Linked DNA regions of Mus musculus: all the other regions are reported to be linked to region 1. The links are microRNA targets in miRTarBase. Many come from high-throughput screens and were not tested one by one. Region 1 holds a microRNA gene; each other region holds the end of a gene's coding sequence.

Region 1 (4,065 bases):
TAATTTTATGGTTGGGGGGAGGGGTCACCACAACATGAAGAACTCTATTAAAGGGTAGCAGCATTCTGAAGGTTGAGAACCATTGCCCTAGGTAATAGGGCCTGTAACCTTGGGGATCGGAAACCTTGCTGGGAGGAGACATGCCAGAGCAGAGTCTCATACCAGGACGCCAGCAGGTGGCGCTGGCTGCCGAGGACAGGAAAAAAAATGCCTGCAGCAGACCTGAGTGGGTGTCACTGCGGCTGCAGATGGTGGTGGGGGAGGGAGGAGGAGGATTTGTCATTTTCTCTCTGGGCTGCAGAGCCTCACGTGCCTCGCGTCCCGCATAGCTGGAGAGAGGTTTGGGGGCGGGATGCGGTCCAGTGTATCCACCCAGATTTAGACCTTGGATGCAGATGCAGATCCCCCACTTCCACAGCTCGAACCTCAACCTAAGGTTCAGGGGTTTCTTCAGAATCAAAGTGATCACCGCCTTCACCCTGCGACCCCAACTAGAGCGCCCAGGGGACAGACTGCAGTGACCCCAGACCCTACCCCATTTCTCTGGGGTTGCTGCGGCAACTATCCAGGGCCCCCTAGATGGGAACAGTGATACTCATGACATCCCTTCGCCCCAAGCGCATTAGCGCCCCGTCTCTCTGGGTGACTCCACGGCCAGCACCGAGGACAGCGCCCAGGACTGCCCGTGGGTAGCGGGACGCGCCAACACAACCCGGGAAGCTGCACACTTCCCTCCCGCGCCCCTCAGCCCGCCGCTTCCCCAGCCCCTCCCTTTGTCTTCTGGCCCTCGTCTCCCTCTTCGGGATCTCGAGCACTCAGAGCTGCGGACACACGTGGTCAGGGGCCGGGTGGCCACATTCTCCCCCGCGGTCGCCCCCACCCTTCTCGTGACGTCCTAGGCATGCGGGCCCCTTTGTGTCCCGCGGCCAGATCCCCGGCCCAGCAGCTGGGCCGCCCTCTGGGCGGGCGCATTGTTCGCCGGATTTGTCCGCGGAGCGAGGGGCCACCGGGGGCCGGGGCTCGCCTTTTTCCCGCGGGAGGGGCGCCGCGACGGCCGGGCTCCCGGGCCATTTCCATGAGAAAGGAGCGGCGGAGGCGCCTCTCTTGGCATTCACCGCGTGCCTTAATTGTATAGACATTAAATCAAGGTCCGCTGTGAACACGCAGAGGGGCCCTCAGGGCTGCGGCGGGCGGCGAGCGGCTGGACCGGGTCGGGGCCGGGCTGCGGCTTGCGTGGGGTCCTAGCCTGAGGGGCGCGAATGCTCCAGCTTCTTCGCCGCGGGGCGGGCGGGCGGGGCGGGGCTCCGCGCTAAGCTGGCAGTGCTGCCCTGGTCCGCCCCCAACTCCGAGGAGCCAGTTTTCCTTCCCCTCCCCGAGGTAGAGAAGGGCCCGGGCAAATCCCTCGGGGCGTTCCTGCAGTAGGGACCCCTCGGAGCCGCGGCGAGGGAGATGCAGGAGCCGGCCGGGGTGAGCGCGCGTGCTCCGGCCTGCTGCAGTCTTCTGACGGGTGCAGAGCCCTCTCCACCCCGGCGGCGCAAGCCTCTCCGCAGCTGCCCTTCCCCGGCTCCTCTTCCCGGCCCCACCAGGAGTGCGTGAGTGCGGTGAAAATAAAGAACCTCGATGTTCGGAGATGAAAAGCAGTCTCTTTCTACAACCCGCCGAGCTCTCTTCTCTTACGCCTCTGGCTGGCGAGAAGCTGCTCGAGGAGAGAAAGACGGGGTGACCTGAGAGACCGGCTCGCCCCGGCACGGGCCGCCAGCGCAGTTACCCGTCCGGGCGCGAGCCGCCGCCGCCTGCTGCTTCTCGGTTGCCGCCTCCGCTCCGCAGCACAGCCTGCGCTGTCGCCCGATCCCGCCTCCGCCTCCTTCTTGGCGCCCGCAGGACCCGCACGCTACGGCCCCGGGTGGAGGAGAGCGCAGGGACAGTGCCAAGGAAGCCGGGCAAATTCCTGAGGGCCGGGTGGGAGCCCGGCGTCCGCGAGGTCGGCACTGCGGGAGTCTGACTCCCACTCTCCTTGCCTAGACCGGGTGCGACCGTCCCCGCGCTCGCCGCCGCCGCCGCTGCCTCCGCTCGTATCCGCGCTCGGCTCCGGCACCGGGCGATTATCACTGGGGCGCGCGGTGACGTCACCCGACACCGGCTCTGCCGCCTCCTCTCGGAGGTGTCCTTGAGAACTGAGGGGCACGCGCACCGCGTACACGCGCACTCACGCACCGCGCGACCCGTGCCTCCCGCGCACACGCTCGGCGTCCCGCTCCGCGCGCTCCTCGACTCACACGGATGCAGCCCTCGAACGCCTTCGATTGTGCCCGGCGCCCCGGGGTCACACGTATGCAGAGAAACTGCCTCTTGGACACTCTCGAACCGCTCATTCTGTCCTACTGCACGACCCACGCAAAAGCTTCTCCCGCAGCCCACCGACCGCAGCTCCTCTACACCCACCACCAGCCACACCCCGCTGTGCAGCGAACACACTGTGCTTGCCTCACACAAGCGGCTGGTCCTTCCGGAATAACCACTCTACACAGTGGCTTCTGAGCCTCTCTCTCCTGGGGGGGGGAAAGAAAGGGGTCCTAGCCTCCTGCTGGCGGCCCTATGTGGAGAAGGGAGTTAGACATCTCCCCCAACCCCCATCAGAGACTGCTCCCCTTTTTCACCCTTTTTCTAGCTGGGTAGCGAGTCCTTGCTTACGAGGATGGGAGAAACACAGTCCATACTTCACAGTTGACTGCAATTGAATCTACTCTTTGCAGTCTATTGAAGGGTGACTACCTTGATCTGGGTCTTTAGGGCTAGAGATCAGCGGCTTTCCAAAAATAAAAAACAAAAAAAAAAAAAAAAAAAAACCCACGCCACTCTAGGCCTTCCCAGCGGGCCTTTGTTCCTGCAGACTGGAAGAACCACACAGAAGTAGGCAGGCCTCTGTCCTATCCTTTCTCCCTGGGCCAACCCAGCCCTTGACCACCTGCCCTCTAACAGAAGCTAAATGACCCAGGCATAAATTCTTCCCCCTCCCTTTCCAACCTTCTCCAGCCCCGTGGGAACCCCCGAAGACACTCAGCTGGGAAGGAGGTAATCTCCGGAGATCTCATCCCACTGCCCGAAGGTCCTCAGAGGGTCAGGATACTTCTCTCCCAACCCCAAATCCTTCCCTTTGCAGGTGCCAGTCTCAACCGACGCTAGAGAATCCCCTCTTACACAGACAGCTAAGCCCACCTTTGCTTATGCCCAACCCAAAGTCAAGGAAACCACCCACGGCCTGCCAGCACCTGCAGCCCGAGGGACACTGGCTGGTGGCTCAAGAGTGGAGGATCTAGACTCCGAGCAGAGGCTACTCCCTGTTGGAACCAGCTCCTCTTTGCCTGGCCAGTGGTCCCTCTCCCTAGAGGGTACTGGGTCAGGTCCCCAGCACCGTCCATGACACCAAACCTTCACGGTCTGCTGTCCATGGTGTAGACAGCAAAGCCTGCCCGAATCGCTTCCCATCCGCGGAGCCTGGATCCTCGCCCAGAAAAGGCGCTCCCAGGACAGCAGACCCTTTACCATCCCTCAGCCCCACCCTCGGCTTTTGCAGTGGTCTAACACATCTCCGCTTCTAGCCTGCCCAGATCTCGTTTCTATTCGGAGGGTGCGCGGGGGTGGAGGAGGCACTCCCAAAGAGCCTCGGATTTAGGAGCGCGCTTGCTACGGGGCCGGCTCCGTACAGCGACTCCTCAAAGACCAGTTCCCTTCCCAGGCCAAGGACCTCCCTTCGGCCTCCCCTTACTATTCGTGAGAGATATTTACAGCAAGCCAGAGCATGGTACATAGGGAGTCTGGGAGAGCACCCCTTCCATGGGTCAAACCAAGTTTAATTTTTTGCATCTCCGCCGAAACGTGCCTGCGCGTTTCCTCCTGGTACTCCTATGCACTCAGTCCGGAGCACCCGGTTTCTCTATTTCCAATTCCCTGCGTCCTGCCGCCCGGCCCTGAAGGGCTGGGGGAAGGGTTGTCCTGGGTGTGGGGGTGGAGCTGCCTGTGCGCTAAGAGAAGGGGAGCCCACCCCAAGCATTCCTCTGCCTGTTC
Region 2 (4,064 bases), not on the chromosome of region 1:
CGCACACATACACACACAGGCTGGAGTCTCAGGAAATTGCAGAATATGAAGGTTGGGGGAGCCCCAAGAGCTTCTAGGAAAGTCTTTGTTCTGGAGTTGAGGAACAATACATCTACTGTGTGTGGTGTTGTGGTGTGCTGATGGTTGCTGACAGGTGAGGAATGAACAAGAACATTGACCTAGTATCGTCACTATGCCTCCCTGTACAGCCCTTCCAAGGCTTGGCTTCTTAGTAACCTTAATAACTTACGGGATGCTATAAGAAAAATAATTTCAGCCATGTTTCTGGATAAAATTTTATTCTTGGCAATAATGAAGAAATTCCTAAGATTAAACAGGACTGGAGGAGTGGCTCAGTGCTCAAGAGCAGTGTCTGCTTTTTCAGAGGACCTGCATTTGGTTCCAGGCTCCCACATCAGCTGACTTACAGCTGAGAGAGAGAAAGAGAGAGAGAGAGATAAAATCTTAAAAGACAAAGTCCAAGAAAGAGACAAGTGACTGACTTTGTGCTTCTCTTTATAGACACCCCGGACATCGGATCTACTAAGGGTGACAGGTGAGCAAAATGAGTTTCATTTATCGCTGGTGCTTTGCTGGTAAACTGTCTCCAGGGCACACAACAGTGGGCCTGATCGCTGATCCTTCCTCTTCTTTCTTGCACACATGCAGTGCTGCTAACAGAAGGGGACCAAGCAAAGATGACACATACTGGAAGGAGATCAATGCAGCCATGGCCTTAACAAACCTTGCCCAAGGAAAAGATGAAGTGCAGGGGACGACCACCAGTTGCATCATCCAGAAGTCTTCCCACATAGCAGAAGTAAAGACAGTCAAGCTGCCACTGGTGCAGCGCTTCTAGAGTGGCCAGGAAGTGCTGAGCTGTCAGTGGGTTGTTTGTTTGTTTGTGTTTGTTTTTACCTAAATCCTCATCCTAAGAGCCAAAGCAGAGGTGAAGAGGACTCCCTTAAAACTCCTGAGTTCAACTATCGTAAATATATCAGTTGCTTCTATAAAAAGACATATAAGTTATAAAAACTCATTTTAATCAAAAATATTAACTTATTTTTATGTTACTGAAACTATGCATAAAGTATCTGCATTACCATTACAGTAAGTGCCTTGCTCCCTGAGGTAAGCCCCAACGTGGGCACAGTGAAGAGCTGTGCCTCAAACCATCAATGCCAACACTTGCTAGACTGCATCATTCCCACTGGTCCAGGACAGAAGCCAATCGCCGAAAGCCCATGAAACAATTTCATTCATTCACATGTTCAAACTTGGAAATCTGTTCAGCCCAGATGAGGTGATCTTTTCTTTCTTTTTTCTTTCCTTTTCTTTTTCTTTTTCTCTTTCTTTTTCTTTCCTCTTTCTTTTTTTTTTTTCTTTTCCTTAACTTCCGGTGTGATGGTGAGAATTTTATGTGTGGGTTTTGTTTGCATATCAGTTAGTGCATCCAAAATGAAAGGTGCTGCAGGACCACATGATGCATACACTTAAGAAGAGATGCTTTCAAACTACTTTAATATTGTAATGCAGTCAAGGATTGTTTTCCCAAGCACTGCTGGAAAGTATCCCAATGCCCTTTACAACTAATTGGGATTTTTTTTCCCTGAAGCTTTAAAAAGAGTCTTATTATATAAATCTTTGAAATTTTTTCCTGTGTAAAGCTAAACCTAAAGTTTAGTTTTAAATCATAATCTTGTTTGCATTAGAGCTCAGGGTTCCTGTGTGATGGAAGCCGCTTTCATGTGGAGTGAGTAAAAGCTTTTTATTTGGTTCATTTCAAATCCCAATTCAGATGGACAATTTGTATTGCAATGAGAACAAGACAACGAAGAAAAAATCTGTGTGTGTATATACATATACATGCAGAAAAATTGATTTCTTAAAAATTTAAAATGTACGGGTAGCAAAATATGTTCATGTAGCATAGACTGTTTAGTCTCTGATTTTTGCCAGATAGGACATTCAAATAGAAATTAAGTGAAGTCTTGCATTAAAAGAAAGAAAGTCTTGTTTCTAAATGTCACTACCACAGAGTGAGAGCAATCGCTATCAAGAAAGAAAAGTCTTTTCCATCAAGCATTAACATCCTCCCCTGCCTGGGAAGACTGCAAACCAGAGGAATGTGGAGATGCCCAGTAGAAAAGGAAATCTGGAGATGGCCTATAAAACAGAGCAAACGTTCAACAGCAAAGTAAAAAAGACTAGGCTATCGGGGGAATTTTTTTCTGGTTATGTAATGTATTTTCTAATTGTTTTAGGCTGGAAAGCATTTTTGCAAGTGTGAATGACATCTGGTTTCACAGCACATGCTGACGTTTTTTTCTTTATTTTACAAAATGCTTTTAATGCCAAAGTTAATCTGGTTGCTGAGCAGACATGACGGCCTTGATGGCCCTCGTAGGACACTTTCTCCTGTATCATAGCATAGTGGGGTGGGGGTTATCTAGTGTAATGAAGATAATTTGATATGAAAATATTTTGTACGTATATTTTTACTTTGTTTTCTCAAGTGCTGTTGGCAGTTGCAGTTGCCCTAGGTGAGATGTGTCAGTGCTGACTGTATGAATGGATGAAGTATTGGGTTCTTCTCGTGCAGCCAGCCAAGTGGGGATCACTACAAGACAAGCCTGCCCAGATGTGCATGAGGCAGTGAGAAGCAAGAACGAATACTTCACTCTTTCTCATACTATTATAAGTTATTCTGGTATTAAATATTTTAATAAAAGTGTTCTTGTTTTAACATATTGTGATTAGATAAGTGAACTTTGGGTTGTATTTTATTTGAAATTGTCATGTTTTACATTTTTCTATCCTTTGGGGGGGGAAATCAGCTAATTTGTTCTGTATTATGAACACAAACCAATGACAGGATACTCTCCACATAATTTCTTTAAAATACCAAAGCTTGGAGTCTGGCCTATACACACATGAAAAATAGGTAATTAGCATATCCTGAGCAATGTCTCCAATTAGAATCATTTTATTATTTTTCTGTGTTACTGTTGTTTTATCTGGAAATCAGAGCCCCCCTGACCCTTAAAAGCACCTTGAGCAATGCCAAGCCAGCAGCTGAGAGCTCGGCTGACATGTAATTTATATTGAAGAGAAAGAGACTCACTCTTATTTTACAGTTGTATTTTAATAAAATTAAAGTCTGTCAAGAGTTCTTGACAGATTTAAAATAAAAGTTCATTTCTAGACTTCAGTGATCATATGGGATTTGTTTGCCTTTGAAAGCTGGCCAGGGCGAGGGAGCAGGAGACAGGAACAGCCTCGCATGTGGCTCATGGATTGGGAGTGCTATAGTTGGACCAAATTTGAATTCTATCACTTTAAGCCACTAACCCACCTGTTAAGACCCAAGGACAAGAACACAACACAGACTGTTCAAATACTGGGTTGTACTAAATTCTTTTTCCATAAATAATACAATAACCATTCCTCTTCCATATTTGCATATTCATGGATTCTAATTGCCTTAAAAAGAAACTTTTATCAGCATACCAAGTCATGGGTATTGTCATGACATTTCCATACTTCCATATCTTTAAGCTTTGTTCATATAGATCCCCTATCCATTACCGTTGTGTTCTGTACAGGGGAGGAGCTTAGCTTGGGAGTCAGCAGAACCGCACTGCAGTGCTGACTCTGCACCCTATCCACACACAACTGCGAGATTTAGACTCAGTCTTTAGGTGTTGTGCACACAGAGTATGAGGAATGAGCAAGACATTGCACTCTGAGGGATTGAAACAGTAGATGATACACAGAATGCAGGAGCCAGCAAGATGGAACAGTAGAAAAGAACATTTGCTGTGAAGCCTGACAGCAAATTTTGCTCTCCAGAACCCATGTGGTACAAAGAATCAGCTCCAGTCAGCTGTCCTCCGATCTCCACACTCAGAGTAAAATAAGTGTAAAAAACGTAAAATGCCTACTACAGTGGCTGAAAAATAGATGATCAATAAATGAAAAATGCTATCACATACTGTAATTTGTTCCATGTGATATGTATATAGGAGCTAAAAGTGTAGGTGGAATAGGGATTGGAGACAAAA
Region 3 (4,056 bases), not on the chromosome of region 1:
GGATATAAGGCTGGATGAGGGGTGGGCTAGGTGCCAGGGCCTCAAGTCTCACCATTCCCTTCTGTCTCTACCACACAGACCACTCTCAAAATAACTGGACTATAATCATTCTGGTGCCAGTACTGCTGGTCATTGTGGGCCTCGTGATGGCAGCCTCTTATGTTTATAACCGCCAGAGAAAGATCAGGATATACAAGTTACAGAAGGCTCAGGAGGAGGCCATAAAACTCAAGGGACAAGCCCCACCTCCCTGAGCCTGCTGGATGAGACTCCTGCCTGGACCCCCTGCAGGGCAACAGCTGCTGCTGCTTTTGAACAGAATGGTAGACAGCATTTACCCTCAGCCACTTCCTCTGGCTGTCACAGAACAGGATGGTGGCCTGGGGGATGCACACTTGTAGCCTCAGAGCTAAGAGGACTCGGTGGATGGAGCAAGACTGTGAACACGTGTGACCCGGACCCACCTACAGCCCGGTGGACCTTCAGCCAAGAAACGCTGACTTCATTCTCTATTGCCCCTGCTGAGGGGCTCCTGCCTAAGGAAGACATGATATCCAGTAGACACAAGCAAGAAGACCACACTTCCCCCCGACACAGGAAAGCTGAGACATTGTCCCCAACTCTTCTTGATGTATTTATTAATTTAGAGTTTTACCAGCTATTTATTGAGTACCCTGTATATAGTAGATCAGTGAGGAGGTGAATGTATAAGTTATGGCCTGGACCCTGCTGCAGATGCTGTGAGAGTCTGGGGAAAGATCACATGGGTCGAGGGTTTCTCTACTGGTCAGGATGCTTTTCTCATAAGGGTCGACTTTTTTCACCAGTCACATAAACACTATGTGGACTGGCAGTGGTTCTCTGCTCCTCCACATCCTGGAGCGTCCCAGCACCTCCCCACCTACTTTTGTTCCCAATGTCAGCCACCATGCCTTAGCAGCTGAACAATCGAGCCTCATGCTCATGAAATCATGGTCCCAGGCGGCTCCACCTCAAAGAGAAAGCCTGGAAGGAAATGTTCCAACTCCTTAGAAGGGTCGTGCAAGCTGCTGTGGGAGGGTAAGCACCCCTCCCAGCACAGAAACCTTTCCTTTGAATCAATAAAGTTTTATGTCGGCCTGAGTGTCTTGTGAGTTTGTGTACAGTCATCACATCAGTTAGGCAAAGCCCTAAGGACTGCCGACTCCCATAATGCCTCAGGGTTGTCTGGTAACCTAACCCTAACTCTGAGTCTGTGGATCAGGTTGGTCCCCACCCCCACCCCCTTTCTTTTTTGAGACAGGTTCTCTTTGTGGCCATGGATGTCCTGAAATCTGCTATGTGGAATGGGCTGGCCTTGACTTCACAAAGATGGGCCAACCTGTCTCCTGAATGCTAGGACTAAATGACAAAGCCACTGCCATGTCTAGTAAAATCTACGTTAGATAGACAGGGTTTCCCAGTGTAGATCAGGATGGCCTTGAACTTACAGAGATCTGCCTCCCTGGGAGTGCTGGGATCAAAGGCATGTGCCATCACCAAGCGTTATTTTATTTTTTAATTTTTAAAGACTTCTTGGGGCTTACGTAAAAACTAAAGAGCAGGTCCAGAACTGTGCAATGGCTTTTGGTTGATTGTAGGGTCTGATGGGAGGGGAGGCAGGTATCTTCATCAGGGCCGGCCGAGGCCCATTCTGGGGCGTGGCCAGGGTGCCTTCTTATCTCCTGCGGCCAGCCTAAACTCCCTGGCGTTCCGCCCGCACTTCAGCGCGGGCTTTGTGCCATGGAGTCTGCCCTTCTGCTCCCGTCGCTTTTGCTGGTGGCTGCCTATCCGAGGGGTGGGAGCCCCCAGCAAGAGTGGATGCAAAGTCCTCCCGCGCCTTCCGTGACCTCAGCACCTTTCTGGGTGCGTCTTAATCCAGAGCTAGAGGCCGTGCCTCCCGGGGGCTCAGCGTGGCTTAACTGCAGCCACAACTGCCCCCTGCCGGTGCATTCCAGCCTGCGCACCCAACTGCGGCAGGGAAAGATAGTTAATGGATCCGGCTGGGTATCTTACCAGCTACTGGATGTGAGGGCCTGGAATTCCAAGGTGCGCTGCGTCGTCACTTGCGCAGGAGAAACCCGAGAGGCCACCGCCAGGATCACTGCTTACAGTGAGGGAGACCGGGGCTCAGGCCGGGCTGGGGTGAGGGGAGAGGGGTGGAGGAAGCGGATAGATGGTAATTGCTTTAAGGGGTGCCTGTGGGCCTTATCTCTCTTGCCTTAGAACGGCCCAGAAGCGTGATCTTGGAGCCTCCGGTCCTAGTGGGCCACAAGTACACTCTGCGATGCTATGTGACACACGTGTTCCCAGTGGGATTCTTGGTGGTGAGCCTGAGAAGAGGTGGCCGAGTGATTTATCATGAAAGCCTGGAGCGCTTCACCGGTTCAGATTTGGCTAATGTCACTTTGACCTACGTGATGCGGGCCGGACTCAACGACCTCTGGCAGCCACTCACCTGCCATGCGCGCCTCAATCTCGACGGGCTAGTGGTGCGCAGCAGCTCGGCACCTGTTATGTTGACAGTCCTCGGTGAGGCATCCTGTAATCCCAGGGAATGGGTGCGGGAGAGGGGATGTTGCCACTCCAAGGGGGCCTGCAGAACAGGCGTGGGCTCCACGCTTGGCGGTCCTCAGACCTCCTAGTTCCTGATTTTCACTCCTGCCCACAGCTTTAAGCCCAGCCTCTATAGCCTTGGCCTCTACCTCCATCGCAACCCTGGTGGGGATCCTCCTGGCTGTGGGGGCTGTCTACGTGCGCAAGTACCTGGCTGTGCAGACTTAGTTATAGATCTGTTTTCGATGCCTGACAAGAGGGAGGGGAAAAGAACTTCAGAGTAATTAATTCAGAGACTCTTATTGAAACAATAAAGTCTTCCTCCTCAGTCTCTGCCTTACGGTTCTTGGAGAAAGTGGTTTCTTTTTTAAGGTACCTTACTTTTTCCAAATTCCTTACGTAGGGGCTGAAGATTAGTAGATTAGAGGTAGTACTGGAGGAAACAACACCTTGAAATTTCTCCTTCAAGGCCAGCATGGGGTCCTAGAACCCGAGTTCCTCTGCGTAGAGTTTTGTTAGCTTTATTTGTGCGGGGCAGAAAGACTAAACTGACCTCCCCTCCAGGGCTGACTCTTGGTATGGCTTTTTCTGATTGGCTCCGCTGATACAGGCCGGAGCTCTGATTGGAGGCTAAGTTTCCCTTCTCCTCCCTCCTTTTCCACTACGGAGCCTGTGCGTTACTAGAGAAGGCCAGCGGGTGGAGCTAGACCTGATTCCCCAAGGTTATCATTAATTGGGGGGGGGGGGGGAGGTAGAAACACTCGAGTAGGCGGGGCCTTCTTCAAGTAGTAGAGGAAGCGGCTAACTAGATAGGAAATCTAGCATAGCAACAAGTTAAGAGATGATTGTTCAGGCCACGTGAGCTGTCACAGACTTGCTTCCTGGCGTTGTGCTTGTTGTCTCCGAGTCTGGTATGTATGTAGAGAGGGATGTCAAAGCTGGGGTCAAAGTGTCCCCAGTTGATCTTTTGGTCCAGCGTGAATTGCAGAATCTCGCACTAGTTACCCAGTAGAGGCGGCCACACTCCTGGCGAGGAGGGCGCAGAAGCTCTGCTGAGAGACTAGACACACAACAGCGTTGTAGACACATTCCCGCTGCACTCTGGGTAAATAAAGATCGGGTGCCGGAGTCGACTCTAATTTAGAAGCCTGCGAACGCTGCGCACACGCACACGTGTCCGAGTCTTGCTGGCACTTGATCCCCCTCTTCCTTCGCCGCGTGCGCGGAGGAGGTCTTAGGGGCGTGGCTCCCATACTTAGCCTGCTGGAGGTCAAAACGAAACCTCAGTTAAGGAAGGCATCCTCACATTCTCCTCTTAGAACCACATTTCCTGCATACTATTGACTCCCCAAGCTAATACAAGCAACCTCTCCATCCACCCTTGCTCAAACAGGCGCTGGTGGGAGGGACCGAGGATGGGCGTGGCTTGGAGACCCAGCGCGTTGTCTCAGACTCTATACCTATGGTGGTGGGTGTTTGGGC
Region 4 (4,065 bases), not on the chromosome of region 1:
ACAAAGTAAATTCTCATAAATCCTTTCTATAGGGGTATCAAGAGGCACTTCACACATGGTGGGGGAAGGGACAACATAGTGGGGGAAATACTGGCAGGCATGCTGCCTGTAGATTGTGGAACTTATCCCCTCTACCTGACTCCTTCTCCCCACAGCCTGTCAGTGCTGGCTGCAAAATCTTTGAGAGCCGACCCAAACTGGCTGCCTGGCGTCAGAGAGTAGAAGCCGAAGTGGGGGAGAGCCTCTTCCAGGAGGCCCATGAAGTTGTCCTGAAGGCCAAGGATATGCCTCCCTTGATGGACCCTGCCTTGAAAGAGAAGCTGAAGCTCTCTGTGCAGTGTTTGTTACACTGAGGGAATAGCTCGAACTGGGAGACAGACGGTCAAGGGAAACTCGGGGCCGTGCAAGCGAAGAGATGAGGCTGTCTGGCTCTTTGGCTGTCACTAGGACATAGGGTCTCTGGTCCGCAATTTCCTCTCTGCATCACCTGTGTTCCCTCTGTGTCCCCACCTGGCTTGTGCTGTAACATCAGTTCTTATCTGACTTCTGGAGAGAGCTCCAGGAAAATACTTGGGAGAAACGTATCTGGCCATATTCCTTTTCTTTGAAACTTTACAAACCATTGAACCTTCCCCCATCCTCCAAGCCATATTTGTATATACATGTATATACACATATACATATAATTGATATCTGGTACCACGTGACCCTCTGTGCTCCTCAACCCTGGTGCCTCCCTTCCTCAGTTTTGGCATGCAGGATCTATGATCTCTCAGTTGAATACATGCAAGAGACGGGGATTGACTAGTGAAAGACCTTTGTCCTCTGCGTCTTTGCTTCCTGCCATAGGTGGGGTGCAGGGCTGGTTCCTTTGTGGGAGTGGAAGTTGCTTGGTATGTCCTGACTTTCCAAATTCTTGTCCCAAGCATTCTAACCCTGACTGCTGCCTTCTACCTGTCTCCGGCTCCAAACTGTCAAGCTACTTAATCTTGTGCCATAAGACGTCTTTTATGTGCCTTACCTAATAAATACATTGTTAACAGAAGAGTAATGGTTTTGCTTCTGGATCCTTTAGTATGCACACTTTCCTATGTGTAATTGGACAGATTGCTTTTTTCGGTTTGTGTGTGTGTGACAGTTTCTCTGTGTAGCTCTGGCTGTCCTGGAACTCAGTCTGTAGACCAGGCTGGCCTAGAACTCAAGAGATCTGCCTACCTCTGCCTCCAGAGTTCTGGTTTTAAAGGCTTGCACCACAACCACCCGGCCAGATTGGTTTGTTTTAAGTAGTTCTACCACTCTCTAATGGACAATGATTTATCCCTGACAGAAGAGTTTACAAACTCAGGTATCTTAGGGACCAGAGAGAGATGCCCTTGTCCTAGGGTCTTGCCTAAGCACACCTCACGTGCTATTTGGTCTCAAGATTGTTCAAAAGAAGTGCGGTTCCCGTACTGAGTTTGAAATGATCACAATCATTTAAGAAACTTTAAGCCTTTAAGTCTCCTATAGAAATGTATGCCTTGTGGGCAACTAGCTGGGACGCTCAGAGGGAAAAACAGAGCCACCTGCCGACTGGGAGGGCCAAAGGTAGTGAACCTGGGACCAGTAATTTGGAGCCGGCACACGTGACAGCGGAAGAGGCGTATCTCTGATAGCCAATCTAGAAGGGCCGAGTCTGCCTGGCCAATGAGAAACAGAGCTGTGCTCTCCCTCCCCGGCCCCGCCTCCCTGGCCCCGCCTCCTCCCCGCCCCTCCCCGCGCTCCTTTTCTGGAACCTCTACTGGCTCCCACAGCTCACCCGGTGCAGTTACCGTTTGGCGATCCCACTCTTCTCCCGCTAACATGCCATTCGTTGAGTTGGAAACAAACTTGCCGGCTAGCCGCATACCCGCGGGGCTGGAGAACCGGCTGTGTGCGGCCACAGCCACCATCCTGGACAAACCCGAAGACGTGAGTGAGGGTCGGCGAGAACTTGTGGGCTAGGGTCGGACCTCCCAATGACCCGTTCCCATCCCCAGGGACCCCACTCCCCTGGTAACCTCTGACCTTCCGTGTCCTATCCTCCCTTCCTAGATCCCTTCCTGGTTGTCTTTCCCAGGCGTGACCCTGACGTGACTGACTCCCAAGGATCCTGGGCAGTGTCCCAGACCCGGAGCCCTCGGACCCCCACGTTAAGAATTTGGCGCGCCCCCTTCTGAACACCAGCCATGCCCTGCCCAAGCTTCAGGATTTAACTTTTGTGTTCCTTGCAGCGCGTGAGCGTTACGATACGACCTGGCATGACCCTGTTGATGAACAAATCCACAGAGCCTTGTGCTCACCTTCTGGTCTCTTCCATCGGGGTTGTGGGCACCGCGGAGCAGAACCGCACTCACAGCGCCAGCTTCTTCAAGTTCCTCACCGAGGAGCTGTCCCTGGACCAGGACCGGTATGCAGGGCCAGTGAGGGAACGTATTTGTGCGTCTGGAGTCAGGACTCAGTCTCTCTGTATGAGGTTGGGGGGGGGGGGGGTGTCACTATTTGCTGGTTCCAGAAAGCACTCAGTGTCCTTGTCCACGAAGGTGGACTCCTCAGGCACTGGAATGGTGGGTCTGTGATCAGAATGTTAGCAAGATTTCAATTCCTTCGACTCTCTACAGCCCCGAGAAAGGATGGTTTGGGAAGCCCCAGTGTAGTCTTGTGTGTACTGAGAATCTACTTAGGCACCCTCTTAACCACTGTGATAGTGGCCTCCTCACCGTCACTGAACCAGGGGGTCTGGTTTTTTAAGGGAGAACTTTTCCAGGCTGGTCCGAGGGAATCTGGTTGTGTCCTGAGGCAGATAACCTTTGAACTAGATAAGGCTCCGGGAGAGTTGCTGGATGATAAAAAGACCTCCCCCACAAGGTGACCCTCCCCTCCCCCCTCCCCATCCTTACATTCTGAGGCAGAGTTAGAGTCTCATATTCCTGAGGCTGGAGCGGGCCTGTGAAGAACTACGGAGATAAGTTTGAAAGAGCCTTCCAAAATGGAGTCCTAGTGGGCTCAGGAAAGTTGGTAATGGCTGCTTTTGTTGGATGCTCAAATGCTGTCCTTTAGTTGAGGGGACAATACTTCTTAACGGTAATGCTCGTGCACACAGCACAGGGCAGATTTGGTAGCTTCCTGACATAGATAACTGTATTGGGCCAGTTTTACAGATGGAAACCTGAGGGTGTCAGCCCTGTGCACAACCACCCTGGTGCCAGACGATCGCCAGGGACTTCCTCTGAGTCCTGTGATTGAGCAATTGCTGATTCCCACAGATTTGAATCAGATTTGAACCTGCGCCTCACTTAGAGCTGGGCTTTGGTTCAAAACTAAGTGCCTGGTACCCTGGGCACGCCTTTAGGAGCATGCAGTTAGTTAGAAGCAGGGGGACTGTTTGTTAGCCCGTAAGCAGCCTAACATGCTCACCTGAGCACAGAGCACAGGTATTGAAGCCATTGCGTTAAGTCTGCACTGGGACCGGTATAGCCATCACCTTTCTTCTGACTTGTCTTTGGTGCAAGGATCATTAGCTGGGGTGGGCAGATTGGCAAAATATCCTGCAGGCTGATATGGGCTGGCCTGTCTGGCAGGGACCTTAACAAATGAGGGGTGTATGCAGGAGTTGACATCTCTCCTTCTTCCTCCTAAAGGATCGTTATCCGCTTCTTCCCCTTGGAGGCTTGGCAGATCGGAAAGAAAGGAACTGTCATGACATTTCTGTGACGGAAACAAAGAACCCAGGGTGTTTGCTCGAACCGGGCCAGAGCCCTTCCAGAGAGGCCCTCCCGGCAGAATCGTGGCCTGGTAGATAGGATGGTAAATCCCTCTTTTGCCTAAACGTCTGCGACTTCAGTGGTCCATTTTTCTCTTCCCCAGCCTCGTGAATAATTGAAAGAGAGCAAATAAATGAAGAGAATATCATTCAAACATGACTTCTTTGCTTCTGTAACCCCCTCTCTGGCATCCTTGAAACCCTAGAGTTGGGATTTGTTCATGAGGGCAAAGGAGTGGGATGTCGCCTGTTTGTGGGGCTGCCGTGTGATGGGAGATGGCTCA
Region 5 (4,065 bases), not on the chromosome of region 1:
AATTTTAAAGAAATTCACCAAATATAAGCAGAATTAAGTGAGAATGCTCATACCTCTTTCTCTCGTCTGAACAGATGAAGTCTAGATCCCTAACACTGCAAACAGCTACATGAAAGCGGGAACTTGGGATTGTAATAAGCCATTAGACATTTTCTAACATGAAGTAAAATTAATTTTAAAAGGATAAGTGTTAACTCTTACTGAGAAATTTGTCAGAATGACACTTCGTTATATTTTAAGTGTATTGACTTAATTCTTTAACTCTCCCTATAGATCCTGTTTTCCTCCACACAGGCACGCAGACTACAGTCCCCCGTAGGCTCCTGTCCAGCAGACGCTGTGTGATTTTTCCCATCTGTCTACATACGGGATAGGACCTTATATGCTCAGTGTTTATCAGTCTCGCAGTCCAGTGAGTGCTTCCCAGTTAGCCTCACCTCCCTTTTTCAGTTAAGATTCTTATGAATAAGTAAAAATCCTTCATCTTTTTGATCAGTCACTATTAATAGAAAATATTAAACCTGTAAGCAAAGGAAACATGATGTCAGTTCAAAGTAGTTTGAAAAACTTAGCAACTTAGACATCTACGTGATTGTAACATAGGGTGGCTTTAAGAGCTATTAATTTGCAACAGAGATTTTATCGCCATCTAGTGCCCAAAATGAAAATAACATGTAAACATGGTTAGATCTTACAATTTAAGTCTCACTCCCAGGGATTCATCTATTAAAATTCATTAAGTTTTCATACATTAAATGTGAACAAAATCTGGCATATAGAGTTCTTGTTTATTATTAATAATTTTATATTTTATGCTAAATTATATACTATACGTGCCCAGAGTTCATTCTTAAATTGAAGAATATCTAGAACTAATTTTCAGTAAATGCAGCTAATGTGTTATTGGACTATGCAGCTAATTTTTTAGGTTAATTTTGCTTGTGTTGGTTGTTATTCTTGTATCTTATGTACCTATTTAGGACTTGTTCATCTCAATAAGATTTGTTTAATGACATAAATGGCCCCAGTTAGATGCTGAGAACTGTAGCTGTCTACACATACACTGTCTACGTAGAATAGTTCTCACTTGTCTACGAAATGAGTCAGTTATTTGAATTTTGAAATGTTTTACATTGGAGTCCCCAGTTCTATAATAATTTATAAATGTAGGAACTAGAAAGTATTTGCACCCCTCAGCCTACCACCTGCTGCCATCCTCCCTGCAGGCTTTCAAGCACACCATTATCTGACCATTGGCTTCTCCCCACTTTGAAATGCTAAGATACCTGCAATTATACCCAGAAGAATAAGGCTGACGGGTTCCAGAGCCATTTTAGATGGCAGCTCATGGCAAACTGCTCTACAAGCTCTACTGCCTGAGGTGCAATTGTTTGGAGGCCTGTACTCAATCTGGAAAATGGTGGCCCTTGAATGCAGAAGCACGTATCAGCTTTCAATACTCCAAAAGACGTTTATTGTGGCAGTGAACCTTTTTCATGATATCATCTGTTCACCTAAACCTTAGCAAGTGGTTCAATTCTTCTGGACACAGTATTAGGTGCCGATGGTGCCATGCCCATGGTGGAAATAGAGCCTATGCCCTCGTGGAGCACAGCCACAAGGTCCAGGGAGACAGCCTCCTCTAGCTTTGTCCAGCCAGGCACTAGAATAGTAACCATTTTTAATCAGTGTGAGACCACGTGCCTCCCAGACATAGCTTAAATAATGGATACAGTCTTTACAGAGCTCTGAACATTACAAGCTAAATGCCCTGAGACAAGCAGCTTGTGTATTACCACTAATGATCAGAGCTCCACACCTCCTAATTTCAAGGGATTTAATTAACACATCCTCTTCACACTGACCAACCTGGTTTTGCCTCACCCAAGTGGTAATCTATTAAATAACTCCAGCCTCACAGGACTTTATCACATGGTCTGACTTCCAGTGCCTCGGGGCTCCCGGACCCAGGACTGTTCTCACTGCCTATTGCTACCCTTTTCTACAGTCACTAACACATCAGCCACTCAGAGCTGAAAGATAACCACCTTTTGGCTGTGCAACTGGACTTTGTGTTTAGAAACATTAAATGTATCAAAAGTCGATATATGTCTTCCTGCACTGTCGGGACATGTCATTTTGTGGTACTTTTTTGTACATTTTTTAAAAAGATGATATAAAAGGTTCTGTTATGACTAAAAAGAGCACTAGCTCATAGCACTGGCCTGGATCCCAGAGTCCTCGTCAACTTTGACTTAATGCTTTGGGAGCACTCACATGATGAGATGGGCCAACACCCACTGCCCAGGTTGGCAGCTTGGTCTGACTCCCTTACCGATTGCCTTGCCCTCAGAAAGATAAATACTGAATATCTCCTTTCATTCATATAAATCAGAATTAAAATTATATGTGTGTAGACATATGTGTGTAGTCGTGAAACTAGAAAAGGGATCATGAAGGGGAGAAAGAGATCTTAAAGAAGAAGGCCAATGGAATTCCTATTAAAGCAGAGGAGGGGACTTTGTGGGAAGCTGTCACCTGGAGAGGGCAGTGATGGAGGGCTGAGTTATAACTAAGCATAATCACTAACACGAATGACACTGCCATAGTGAAGCTTGTCACTTCATATGTTACCTTAAAACAAGTGACTTACCCTGAATTTTCAGTTTAAGGAAAAGACACACATTCTTTTCATTTGCCATCTGTCTTTTATTGTTTCTGTGATCAATGCAAGCTCTTGGCTTCAGTGTTGACATTCCCTCCTTCCTGTTCCAGGAACCAGACATCCCAGCCTCCAACTCAAAAGACACCTGACACAGTTTTTTTTGTTGTTGCTGTTTTTGTTTTTTTTTTGTTTGTTTGTTTTTGTTTTTAATAGGCATGCAAAGATTAAAGTAGTGAAATAAAAAATAAATGGCTCTACTTTGGGCAAAGAAAACCATCTTTATGAAGAAGAAATTTAAATGCTGGATCAAACATTTTAAAACACCTGGCTTCATGGGTGTGTTTTATAGGTGACTAAAACCAGGCAAACTTGGTAGTAGGCAAATTTTTAACGAGTGATGGATTATCGCTGGTATTATTTGAAGTAAAACACATTATGAATTCAGTTTTTGAGATCTACAATGATGTTAACGTGTGTTTTCACTTAAGTGTGGTAAGGTCCGCATACTCCTCCATACCCGGATACATAGCATGGGCCCATCACTTCTGTAGTATTTGTAACTCAGCCTGAAAGTAGGAGTGCTGAGATTCTGAGTCTAATATGCTCAGTGAGCCACTGTTCTCTATCGCTATTTTTCCATCTATTTCTTCCTCACTGAATTCATACTAGAAATACTAATTATTATTATTTTTTTTTAGAACAGGTGGTTATTAAGAATGTTAGGTGTGAAATTCATGCTTCTGGGTGAGATCATGTCAAAAGGCACTGCGGTTGCATGTGACTGCTTCTCCTCTTCCTCTAGGTGTTGTCGGACAGCTTGGAGTAGGGAGCACCAGGAGGAGACAAGCAGGCTCTTCAGGGGCAGAGTTTCTTGCCCGAAGAGGGCAAGCTCAGAGCCTTACTTGAAGGAGGCCCTCACCACCCTGCCCTTGACAGGCTGAGGAGGGCGCCAATTCCCCACCAGAGGCACCGGGGGCTCATTCTCTGCGCTGGAGAAGAGGCTGCGCAGCTTGGCCATCTGCAAGAGGAAGCAGACTGTTAGAAACCACAGGCTTTCTAACTGGCCAGACAAACCACAGCCAGGCTCCAGGGATAGGTCCTGAGTTTGTAAGCCCCAGCTCATAACATAGACCGTTTCTTACATCCAGAATTCCCTGCTCTCAGAATTACACCTTCCACACCAGGGTTCAGCATGAACTTTATATACATAGAGGGGATGGGGATGTATCATATGCCTGAACGTAAGAAAAACTTCAAAAGGCTCCCACAGTGTAATCAAGTCAAGTGTTTATGGAATTACATTTTAAAGGACTAGAAAGAAATTTAAAACGGGGTATATGTTAAACTGTGTACTATTCTTTTTCTTAAGGGATCAGAAAATGAGGAATTCTCATAAAAAA
Region 6 (4,062 bases), not on the chromosome of region 1:
GGGGAGCAGATGGGAACCAGGAGCTAGGCTCTGGGCAATTAGGCTGATTGGGACGGTGCATCTGTGGGTTTTCCTCCAGATCCTGGCCGGCTATGATATCGCCCTGGTGCAAGAGGTACGAGACCCAGACCTAAGTGCAGTGTCCTTGCTCATGGAGCAAATTAACAGGTGTGGCAGGGCTGGGCCCCACAACCCCAGCCAAGATCACAAGCTTGGTTCGGTGCCTTGACCCAGGGACTGGCGTCTCTCTCCGCAGAGTGTCCAAGCACGAGTACGGCTTTGTGAGCAGCAAGCCACTCGGACGTGACCAGTACAAGGAAATGTACCTGTTTGTTTACAGGTGAGAGGCGGGTTGCGGGGAGGGGACACATTGGGGCAGAGGTAAGCAGCTCCAGACATCTTGTTCTCTGCTGCTCCCAGGAAAGATGTAGCGTCAGTGGTGAGCACGTACCAGTATCCAGACCCAGAGGACGCTTTCAGCCGGGAGCCTTTTGTGGTCAAATTCTCAGTTCCTAGCTGTGGTGAGTTGATACTGCCCTCTCCCAGACAAGCCTACCTCTTCCAGGCTTCCCTTGACCCTCATATCCCCCCACCTTCCACAGCCACCAAGGAGCTGGTGCTGATCCCCCTCCATGCAGCACCACACCAGGCGGTGGCAGAGATCGACGCGCTCTACGATGTGTACCTTGATGTCATTGACAAGTGGAACACTGATGTAGGCAACACCCCCCCCCCCGCCCCCAACTCACGTCCCAGACCACAAGTGTTCTCAGAGGTCTGGACTACTGAGCACTGCTAAGATGTACTGGCTGTGCTTGCCTACAGGACATGCTGTTTCTGGGTGACTTTAATGCCGATTGCAAGTACGTGAAGGCGCATGACTGGCCATCGATCCGCCTTCGAAGCAGTGAGGTGTTTAAATGGCTCATCCCAGACAGTGCGGACACCACAGTGGGCAACTCAGACTGTGCCTATGACCGGATTGTAGTGAGTGGCGCCCATCTGCGCAGGAGCCTGAAGCCCCACTCAGCCTCAGTTCACAACTTTCAGGAGGAATTTGACCTAGATCAGACCCAGGTGAGTGTGGACAGGGCTCCAGCAGACATACTAGTCAGCCCCCTCAGGAGAGGGCTCACAGAAATGCTCACCTGCTGGGAGTTTACACTGATGCTTGCTCTAGCAAAAGCAATTATCGCCAAGGGTCCTTAGAGTGCCAAGCCCCCAGGAAGGGACTGTTGGCACACTTCTGTTCTCTGCCACATGGAGGCAGTATGAGGCCCAAGAATGGCTACCAAGCCTTCACTGCCTTCTTGGTGGTGGTGGTGGTGGTGGTGGTGGTGGTGGTGGTGTGTGTGTGTGTGTGTGTGTGTGTGTATGTGTGTGTATGTTTGGGGGGAGGGGGCAGCTAGAGAAAACGCTGCCCTGCTGAACCGCTGAGACTCCCCCAACCCCTCTCCTTCCAGGCTCTTGCCATCAGTGACCATTTTCCTGTGGAAGTGACTTTCAAGACTCACTGAGAGCCAAGGCCTCAGGATATGCCACCTGCAGACTATTACCACAAGGACTGGCACCACAGTGAATCATTCAGGTGGCAGGCCACCCACCCACTGAGGACACAGGGTCGGACCAGCTGGTGTGGACAATGGCTGTGAACACATTTACAGGACTCCTTAAAGCTCCCATTTCCTCATCTGCAAGGTGAACTAACATCACCTACCTCATCGGGCTGCTGTGAGGAGAACCGAGCAGCGCCAGGCACATAGCTGCATGCTTAATAAACAAGCCGCTCTTGGCCAGGACTACCCACAGGTTGGATGGGGCCTCTGCTTTCTGAGACCTCTGTACCGAGGCTGCAGAGCCTGGTCTTACTGTCCAGTAGGTCTATTTCCATTGTTGTTGTTCACTTCCCAGCCTGGAGGATGCTGGCTCCTCCACACCATGCCAGCTCCCTATCCTTATTGCCTTTGTGCGAACTTGAAATGCTCGTATGAATCATCACCCAGTCACCCAGTGGCAGCTCAGATGGTAATGTCTTTCTGGACCCTGCTGGATTTGAGAGCAGGCCCTGATCATTCTGCCCCAGGGATCCTAAGGCCTCACGTAGCACTGCCGGCAGCGATGGCGGCTACACCTACCCCGTTAGTGAGCTCTTCTGCCACCTTCTGAAAAGGAACCTACAGCAAAGGCAACTGCTGGGCACGGAGTCCTACCCAGCCTGCACTCTGCTTAGGCCAAGCTGTTCAAAGGTGCCTCATGGAGTAGCTTTAAAACTTTGGGCTGGGCGAGGCCTCGGCAGGATGGAGATTTTATGCTCAGGTGGGCCATCACTTTAGGAGCAGGAAATAGCTCTGTAGACACAAGGCTCTCATAAGGCTTCTAGTTGTTAAAACTTGTCGTGTGTGTGTGTGCACGTGTACATGCACATGCACGCACACATGCATACGTGCTACTATGGAGGCCCAAGGTCAATAAAACCTCTTTAGTGAGATTGGAGAAAAGGCATGAATTACATGGGAAAAAAACCTTGCGGTGGATTAGAAAAGTTTTGTCGTTTGTGTTGGCATTTCTGGGAACTGAATCAAGGATTTAGTGCAAGCCTATCTGGATTGCATAAAATCTAATCTAAGATTCAGGACCTTACCACTGAATAAGCAGCACTGGGCTGAGGCAGAAAGGCACTTGCAGTTGCAGCCATAGGGCCCCATGCTTCGAGGGACAGCCTCTGTATGCACACGTACACTTGGATAAGCCAGAGGCCCAGCAAGTTTCTACCTTGTTTCGAGAGGAGGTGTCTCACTGGCACTTGCTGGCTGGCCGGCCAGAGCCTCAGAGATCCGCCTGTTCCTGCCCCCACCCCCACCCCCACCCCCGGCACTGGGGTCAAGCGCATCCACCTTGTCCTGCTTTGTTTCAAGTTCTCACCATAGCATGGGAAGCACTGTAATGACAGACCTACCCCACCCAGCTAGTGGGACTGTTAGAACACACACACACACACACACACACTCACTGTATATGTACATACACATGTATGTATATTTGCATGTATGTGTGTATGCACCACATGCTTCATATGAAGTGCTTTTGGAGGCCAGAGGGGGCATCGGATACCTTGGAACTGCAGTTACCACGTGGGTGCTGGGATTTGAACCTGCATCCTCTACAACAGCAGCTAGTGTTCTTAATCACTGACCTATTTCTCCATTCCTGAAACAGGACATTTTAAGGTTAGGAACACAAGAGCTAAGAGAGTTTTGAAGTTGAAGAATACCTTGTTTATATATAATCTTTGGGACCAGTGGGTCCCTAGAAGGCACATATGTGGCAGCTGTAGGTTAGCCCTTATTTTTATTTTTTTATTATTTTTTTTCAAAACAGGGTTTCTCTGTATACCCCTGGCTGTCCTGGAACTCACTCTGTAGACCAGGCTGGCCTCGAACTCAGAAGTCCACCTAGGTTAGCCCTTCTTTTGCTTGAGCTTTTCCAAGTACATGTGTAGGGACTTCTGGATGGAGTCTTTGGAGATGAAACTGGTGAAATTCTGGATGTCAGCCTCTCGCTGCTTGATCAGGTTGTCTGCGGTGGCCTTTCGCATCATGTTCTTTGTCAGCTGCCGAGAATGGTCTGAAGAAAACAGGGTTACTTATGAAACTCACCTGTGCAGTGTGGGGGGCCGTTCCCGGCTCCTCTACACTTGAGTCCTCAAGTACTGAAATATAAACTCTCCTAGAGTTGGGAAAATCAGAGAAAGCATTAGGGCAGCTAAGGTGGGCTAAGGAGTCCAGGGTCAGCCTGAAATACATAGCAATATCCCATCTAGAGTCCCCCACCCCAGCCCCTCGAGACAGGGTTTCTCTGTAGAGTCCTGGCTGTCCTGAAACTCACTCTGTAGACCAGGCTGGCCTCGAACTCAGAAATCTACCTGCCTCTGCCTCCTGAGTGCTGGGATTAAAGGTGTGTGGCCACCACTGCCCAGTGCAAGACAGTTTTTATTGTTGCTGCTGAGCCAGTCTCTGTGGCTCAGGATGGTCTTGGATGTGTAGCACTTCTCTTTTAGTCCCC
Region 7 (4,065 bases), not on the chromosome of region 1:
GCATCCAAGGCCCTCTGAAAGCGCTAACAAGAACCAGGTCACGCAGCCCATCCAAATTGCTCCAGGGTGTGTGTGCTCAAGCTACTACTAGATAAGCAGGACCTGTTGGCTTTCTGATATGTGCTAATTCAAGATAGAAAAGATTGGAGTTTTGCCTTTAAAGTAGGAAGGCCAGCCAGGTAAGGTGCTGGCTCTGGCTTTATCCTTCCTTCAGAATTGAGCCCAGGAGAGCCAGTACTGGCGAGAAGCCTAGTGCTTTGTTCTGCGTCTGCGGCGCGTGAAGGGCACAGATGTCTTTTCCCCTTTCCCATACTGACACTCGGGTTTGCTTTGTCCACAGGCTGGGTGGTCAGACTCCCTGTTCTGGAAGGCCAACCAGTGGCTAATGATCCACATGTTTCACTGTCGAATGATCCTCACCTACCACATGTGGTGGGTGTGCTTCTGTCACTGGGACGCCCTCACCAGCAGCCTGCACCTGCCCCACTGGGCACTGTTCCTTTTCGGGCTGGCCCTGCTCACGGCCGTCATTAACCCTTACTGGACACACAAGAAGACCCAGCAGCTCCTCCATCCCGTGGATTGGAACTTTGCACAGGAGGAAGCCAAGGGCAGCAGGCAAGAAAGGACCAATGGCCAGGTGCCTCGGAAAAAGAGGTTGTAGCGGCGCCCACCCAGGGACTGGGTGGACCATGATGCCGACTGGGGAGTGTCCAGGGTTGGACAAAGCTCCACAGTGACTCTTTACGTATGGATGGGGACATAGATAAGTTTATATCTAGGTGAATACTAACTTGTTCCTTACTATGAATTCTAAAGTACCCATGAAGTATTGCTGGGGCCTCGACGTGCCTGGAAGAGGTCTTTGCCATCATGACTTTCCTCTGAGTCTTCTGGCGTGGCCCCAACCACAGCACATCTGCCAAGGCAGTGCTAGGGAAGGAGCAATGGCAGCCAGGTGTGCAGGCTGCTGAGGAAGCCAGTCTGGAGCCCTGCGACGATTCATCGGGAAGGACCTCGTGTGGGTGTGGGTGTGCCTTATTTGGAAGTCGTGTTCTTTTTCATTGCAACAAATTGACCCTAAGAAAATGTGATTTGCTGATCATATTTATTTACTAGCCTGGGGAATTTTAAGCCCGTGGCAGTGCACTGCCCTCTAGTGGCAAGAGGCAGAAGGACAGAGTTATGGTAAGGGGTTCTCCTTGGCTTACTAGAGTCTGCCCACCCCTCCTGGAGTGGTGGTGGTGGTGTGAAATCTTGTACTTCAAAAACAAACAAGCAAACAACAAAAAACCCCAAGGAACCTAATAACCTTTTTGAAAAACAAAATAATGAGAATTTTTAGTGATATATTTCTTATTTGACAGAATAAGGTGTCTGGAGGGGGTCCTGTACTCATCCTCGTGTCGCTCATCCTGAGTCGCTAGGGCCCCGAGCAAGCACCTTGCCTGACATGACCATGGGAACATGTTCTCGCCGCGCTGTTTGCAGGTTAGACCTCCAGACACCGGCTAGCAATGCTATCGGCAGACACAAAAACTTTCCCAGAGAACAGTTAAAGAACAAGGGGGTTTTTGTTTGTTTGTTTGTTTGTTTGTTTGGGTTTTTGTTGATTTGTTTTGTCAAAACTACCTGAGAAATGGTGGTTGCTCTTGAAAATCATGTGTGACTTAGGCTTGCCTCAGCAGCCCTTTAACTTTATGAGGATGTATGATGCCTATTTTATTATAAAGTAGCCCATTAACTTTATGAGGAGGTATGATGCCTATTTATTTCAATCTAAGAAAGCCCTTACTTTGTGTTCCTAAGATAATCAACTGAACTGAAAACCCTGTAGCTCCTGTGTCTGCTTTGTTGAGGCACCAGCCTGGCATTTTTGTTTTTTTTTTGTTTTTTTTTAAGCTGGGCAGAGGCTTAATATAGTGACAGCTCTTTCCAAAACCCAAACATACTTCCTGTCTGATAACGTGACCCGAAGCTCACCTGAGTGCCTGAGAACACTCTGCGTCCTGAACATGTTGGCAAGTCTTCAATGGGACCAGGATGGGGTTAGAGAGTGTCTTAGTCGGGCATTTCTATTCCTGCCCAAAACATCATGACCAAGAAGCAAGTTGGGGAGGAAAGGGTTTATTCAGCTTACACTTTTCCACATGGCTGTTCATCACTAAAGGAAGTCAGGACTAGAACTCAAGCAGGTCAGGAAGCAGGAGCTGATGCAGAGGCCATGGGTTGATGTGACTTACTGGCTTGCCCTGGCTTTCTCAGCCTGCTCTCTTAAAGAAGCCAAGACTACCAGCCCAAGGTTGGCACCACCCACAATGGGCCCTCCCCCCTTGATCACTGATTGAGAAAATGCCCCACAGCTGGATCTCATGGAGGCGTTTCCTCAAGGGAGGCTCCTTTCTCTGTGGTAACAACAGCTTGTGTCAAGCTAACACACAGAAGCGGCTGGGACAGGGAGATCATCTGACTTTCGCTGGCCTCTACAAGGAGTGTGACCTCAGGTTACATCCTCCGTCTTCACGTGTGTCAGCTGAGTGCCATTCCATAGCTCAGGTGACCTTTGGTCACTCCACACACATCTCCTTTCTGACCAGGACTTCTCCCCGGAACCTTGGAGACAAGTATTCATGAGAAGGCTCTGCAATGGAGCAAGCACTAGTCCCTGCCTAGAGTAGTGGCTCTCTCGCCATGATTTTTTTAATACAGTTGCTCATGCTGTGGTGATCCCCAACCATGAAGTTATTTTCGTTGCTACTTCATAACCGTAATTTTGCTATTATCATAATTAAATATCTGCGTGTCCCAACCTCTTGTGAAAGGGTCGATCGACCACCAAAGAGGTCATGACCCACAGGTTGAGAACACTGGCCTAGAGAGGGGCCACCCTTCCCAGCTATAGTACCTTTGTGGTCTCCAGTGTCCTGCCAGACAGATCTCGGAGAGGGGCATGGTCCAGAGGACACGAGGAGCCGCAGCTCACTAATGTGAGCCTAGGCTGGCCTGCTCTGTGGCCCACACTGGCCAAGATTCCACTGCACGTGTGCCCCACTAGACTCCTACATCAGCTGTTAGGAATTAGAATGGGGTATCGCTTGGTAGTAGAGAACTTACTTAGCATGTAGGAAGCCTTCCTGGCTTCTGTCTTCAGCCACTGGAGAAGAGACGCTCTCCTACTTGACCGGTATGGAAAATCAAAAACGTTCTCCCTTTCTCGCCACGTAGATGTTTTACATGTTCCCATGTTTTCAACAGTAGAGGATGTGATGGTCAGGGGCAGCAGCCCAGCGTCTTCCCCATCTCTTCCCGATGGCTTGCCCTTTTCCCGATGGCTTGCCCTTGCCCCTTCAATTTAGCAACGAGGTTCCAACTTCTCTCAGCAGCATACCATAGGCTCCTCAAAGTAGCACTGGACTTGGTGCAGCAGAGCTAGTGACTGGCTGTGTGCTGTTGTCTTCTGTGAAGCCTATGGGTCACAAGGCTCTCCTTCCACAGACAGCTCCTCAGTAGGCCCTGTGGCTTCCACGGCAACATTGCTAGCAAGAGGCCATACCCCTACCTGAGCCCTTAAGTCTCTGTTCACACAGCCTGTGGTGACCCTCCTGATGGGAACTAAGCATTGCCTCATTCCTGTGTGCCGTAGGGGCGACACCTGAGCCTGGGTCCTAGAGAAAGAGCAGAGACTAGCCATTTCTAGTTTTGTAGGGTGGAGGTCCAAAGTCAGGTGCTGGCAGCTTCAGTCAGGAAGAGGCCCAGTACTTCCTACGTGGAATGTTTCTTTACCTCCAGGAGAAAGCTATGCCATATATCTAAGGAGCAGAAGGGCTGAAAAGATTCAGGAAGCCCAAGTGAGTTTCCTGGAGGCCTTTATAAGGATCACTGTCTGGACACATGGTGACTTAAGTGTTTTCTTTGGCTGGGGCTGTCTCTGATTGTGGAAGCTAGTGGCTGGGAGGAGGCCCTTGCCTATCCCCAACCATGGATGTAATGCGTCCACATAACCTTAGTGGGGCACATTCAAATGCTAGTACAAAAAAGAGTGTTGCCACACCCCGTGTCAGTAAG

The links. The annotated mature microRNA mmu-miR-124-3p reads UAAGGCACGCGGUGAAUGCC and lies in region 1 at 1,107-1,126, opposite strand. An mRNA with a match to its seed (bases 2 to 7 or 8) in the 3' UTR can be bound and repressed. Matches are read on the target gene's strand: a 7mer-m8 pairs with bases 2 to 8, a 7mer-A1 pairs with bases 2 to 7 and ends in A, and an 8mer does both.
Region 2: miRTarBase lists Mkx as a target of mmu-miR-124-3p. Seed matches in the 3' UTR shown: 7mer-m8 at 1,115-1,121.
Region 3: miRTarBase lists Icam1 as a target of mmu-miR-124-3p. Seed matches in the 3' UTR shown: 7mer-A1 at 930-936.
Region 4: the mRNA of Gstt3 is a reported target of mmu-miR-124-3p. Seed matches in the 3' UTR shown: 8mer at 1,013-1,020.
Region 5: the mRNA of Car3 is a reported target of mmu-miR-124-3p. Seed matches in the 3' UTR shown: 7mer-m8 at 3,425-3,431.
Region 6: the mRNA of Eci1 is a reported target of mmu-miR-124-3p. Seed matches in the 3' UTR shown: 7mer-m8 at 3,311-3,317.
Region 7: the mRNA of Cln8 is a reported target of mmu-miR-124-3p. Seed matches in the 3' UTR shown: 8mer at 1,034-1,041.

The regions. Positions count from the first base shown.
Region 1 is chr2:180,891,144-180,895,208 of GRCm38, reverse strand. Mir124a-3 (microRNA 124a-3) reads right to left here and starts at 1,169; the gene lies at 1,102-1,169.
Region 2 is chr18:6,933,660-6,937,723 of GRCm38, reverse strand. It overlaps Mkx (mohawk homeobox), which reads left to right. Exons shown (of 7, transcript NM_177595.4): 6 at 523-556; 7 at 670-2,758. The coding sequence ends at 859. Among named protein-coding and RNA genes, the nearest start is that of Mkx, 69 kb to the left of the region's middle.
Region 3 is chr9:21,027,693-21,031,748 of GRCm38, forward strand. Icam1 (intercellular adhesion molecule 1) reads left to right here. Exons shown (of 7, transcript NM_010493.3): 7 at 79-1,122. The coding sequence ends at 254. Icam4 (intercellular adhesion molecule 4, Landsteiner-Wiener blood group) reads left to right here and starts at 1,740. Exons shown (of 3, transcript NM_023892.3): 1 at 1,740-2,131; 2 at 2,245-2,550; 3 at 2,690-2,904. The coding sequence starts at 1,762. The coding sequence ends at 2,802.
Region 4 is chr10:75,771,101-75,775,165 of GRCm38, reverse strand. Gstt3 (glutathione S-transferase, theta 3) reads left to right here. Exons shown (of 5, transcript NM_133994.3): 5 at 156-1,044. The coding sequence ends at 353. Ddt (D-dopachrome tautomerase) reads left to right here and starts at 1,792. Exons shown (of 3, transcript NM_010027.1): 1 at 1,792-1,950; 2 at 2,253-2,428; 3 at 3,660-3,933. The coding sequence starts at 1,843. The coding sequence ends at 3,732.
Region 5 is chr3:14,871,160-14,875,224 of GRCm38, reverse strand. It overlaps Car3 (carbonic anhydrase 3), which reads right to left. Exons shown (of 7, transcript NM_007606.3): 7 at 2,844-3,683. The coding sequence ends at 3,564. Among named protein-coding and RNA genes, the nearest start is that of Gm41999, 9.1 kb to the right of the region's middle.
Region 6 is chr17:24,438,511-24,442,572 of GRCm38, reverse strand. It overlaps Eci1 (enoyl-Coenzyme A delta isomerase 1), which reads right to left. Exons shown (of 7, transcript NM_010023.4): 7 at 3,257-3,624. The coding sequence ends at 3,458. It overlaps Dnase1l2 (deoxyribonuclease 1-like 2), which reads left to right. Exons shown (of 8, transcript NM_025718.3): 3 at 80-168; 4 at 257-340; 5 at 421-521; 6 at 603-715; 7 at 826-1,077; 8 at 1,464-1,805. The coding sequence ends at 1,517. Among named protein-coding and RNA genes, the nearest start is that of Dnase1l2, 2.6 kb to the left of the region's middle.
Region 7 is chr8:14,896,191-14,900,255 of GRCm38, forward strand. It overlaps Cln8 (CLN8 transmembrane ER and ERGIC protein), which reads left to right. Exons shown (of 3, transcript NM_012000.3): 3 at 341-4,065. The coding sequence ends at 664. Among named protein-coding and RNA genes, the nearest start is that of Cln8, 9.7 kb to the left of the region's middle.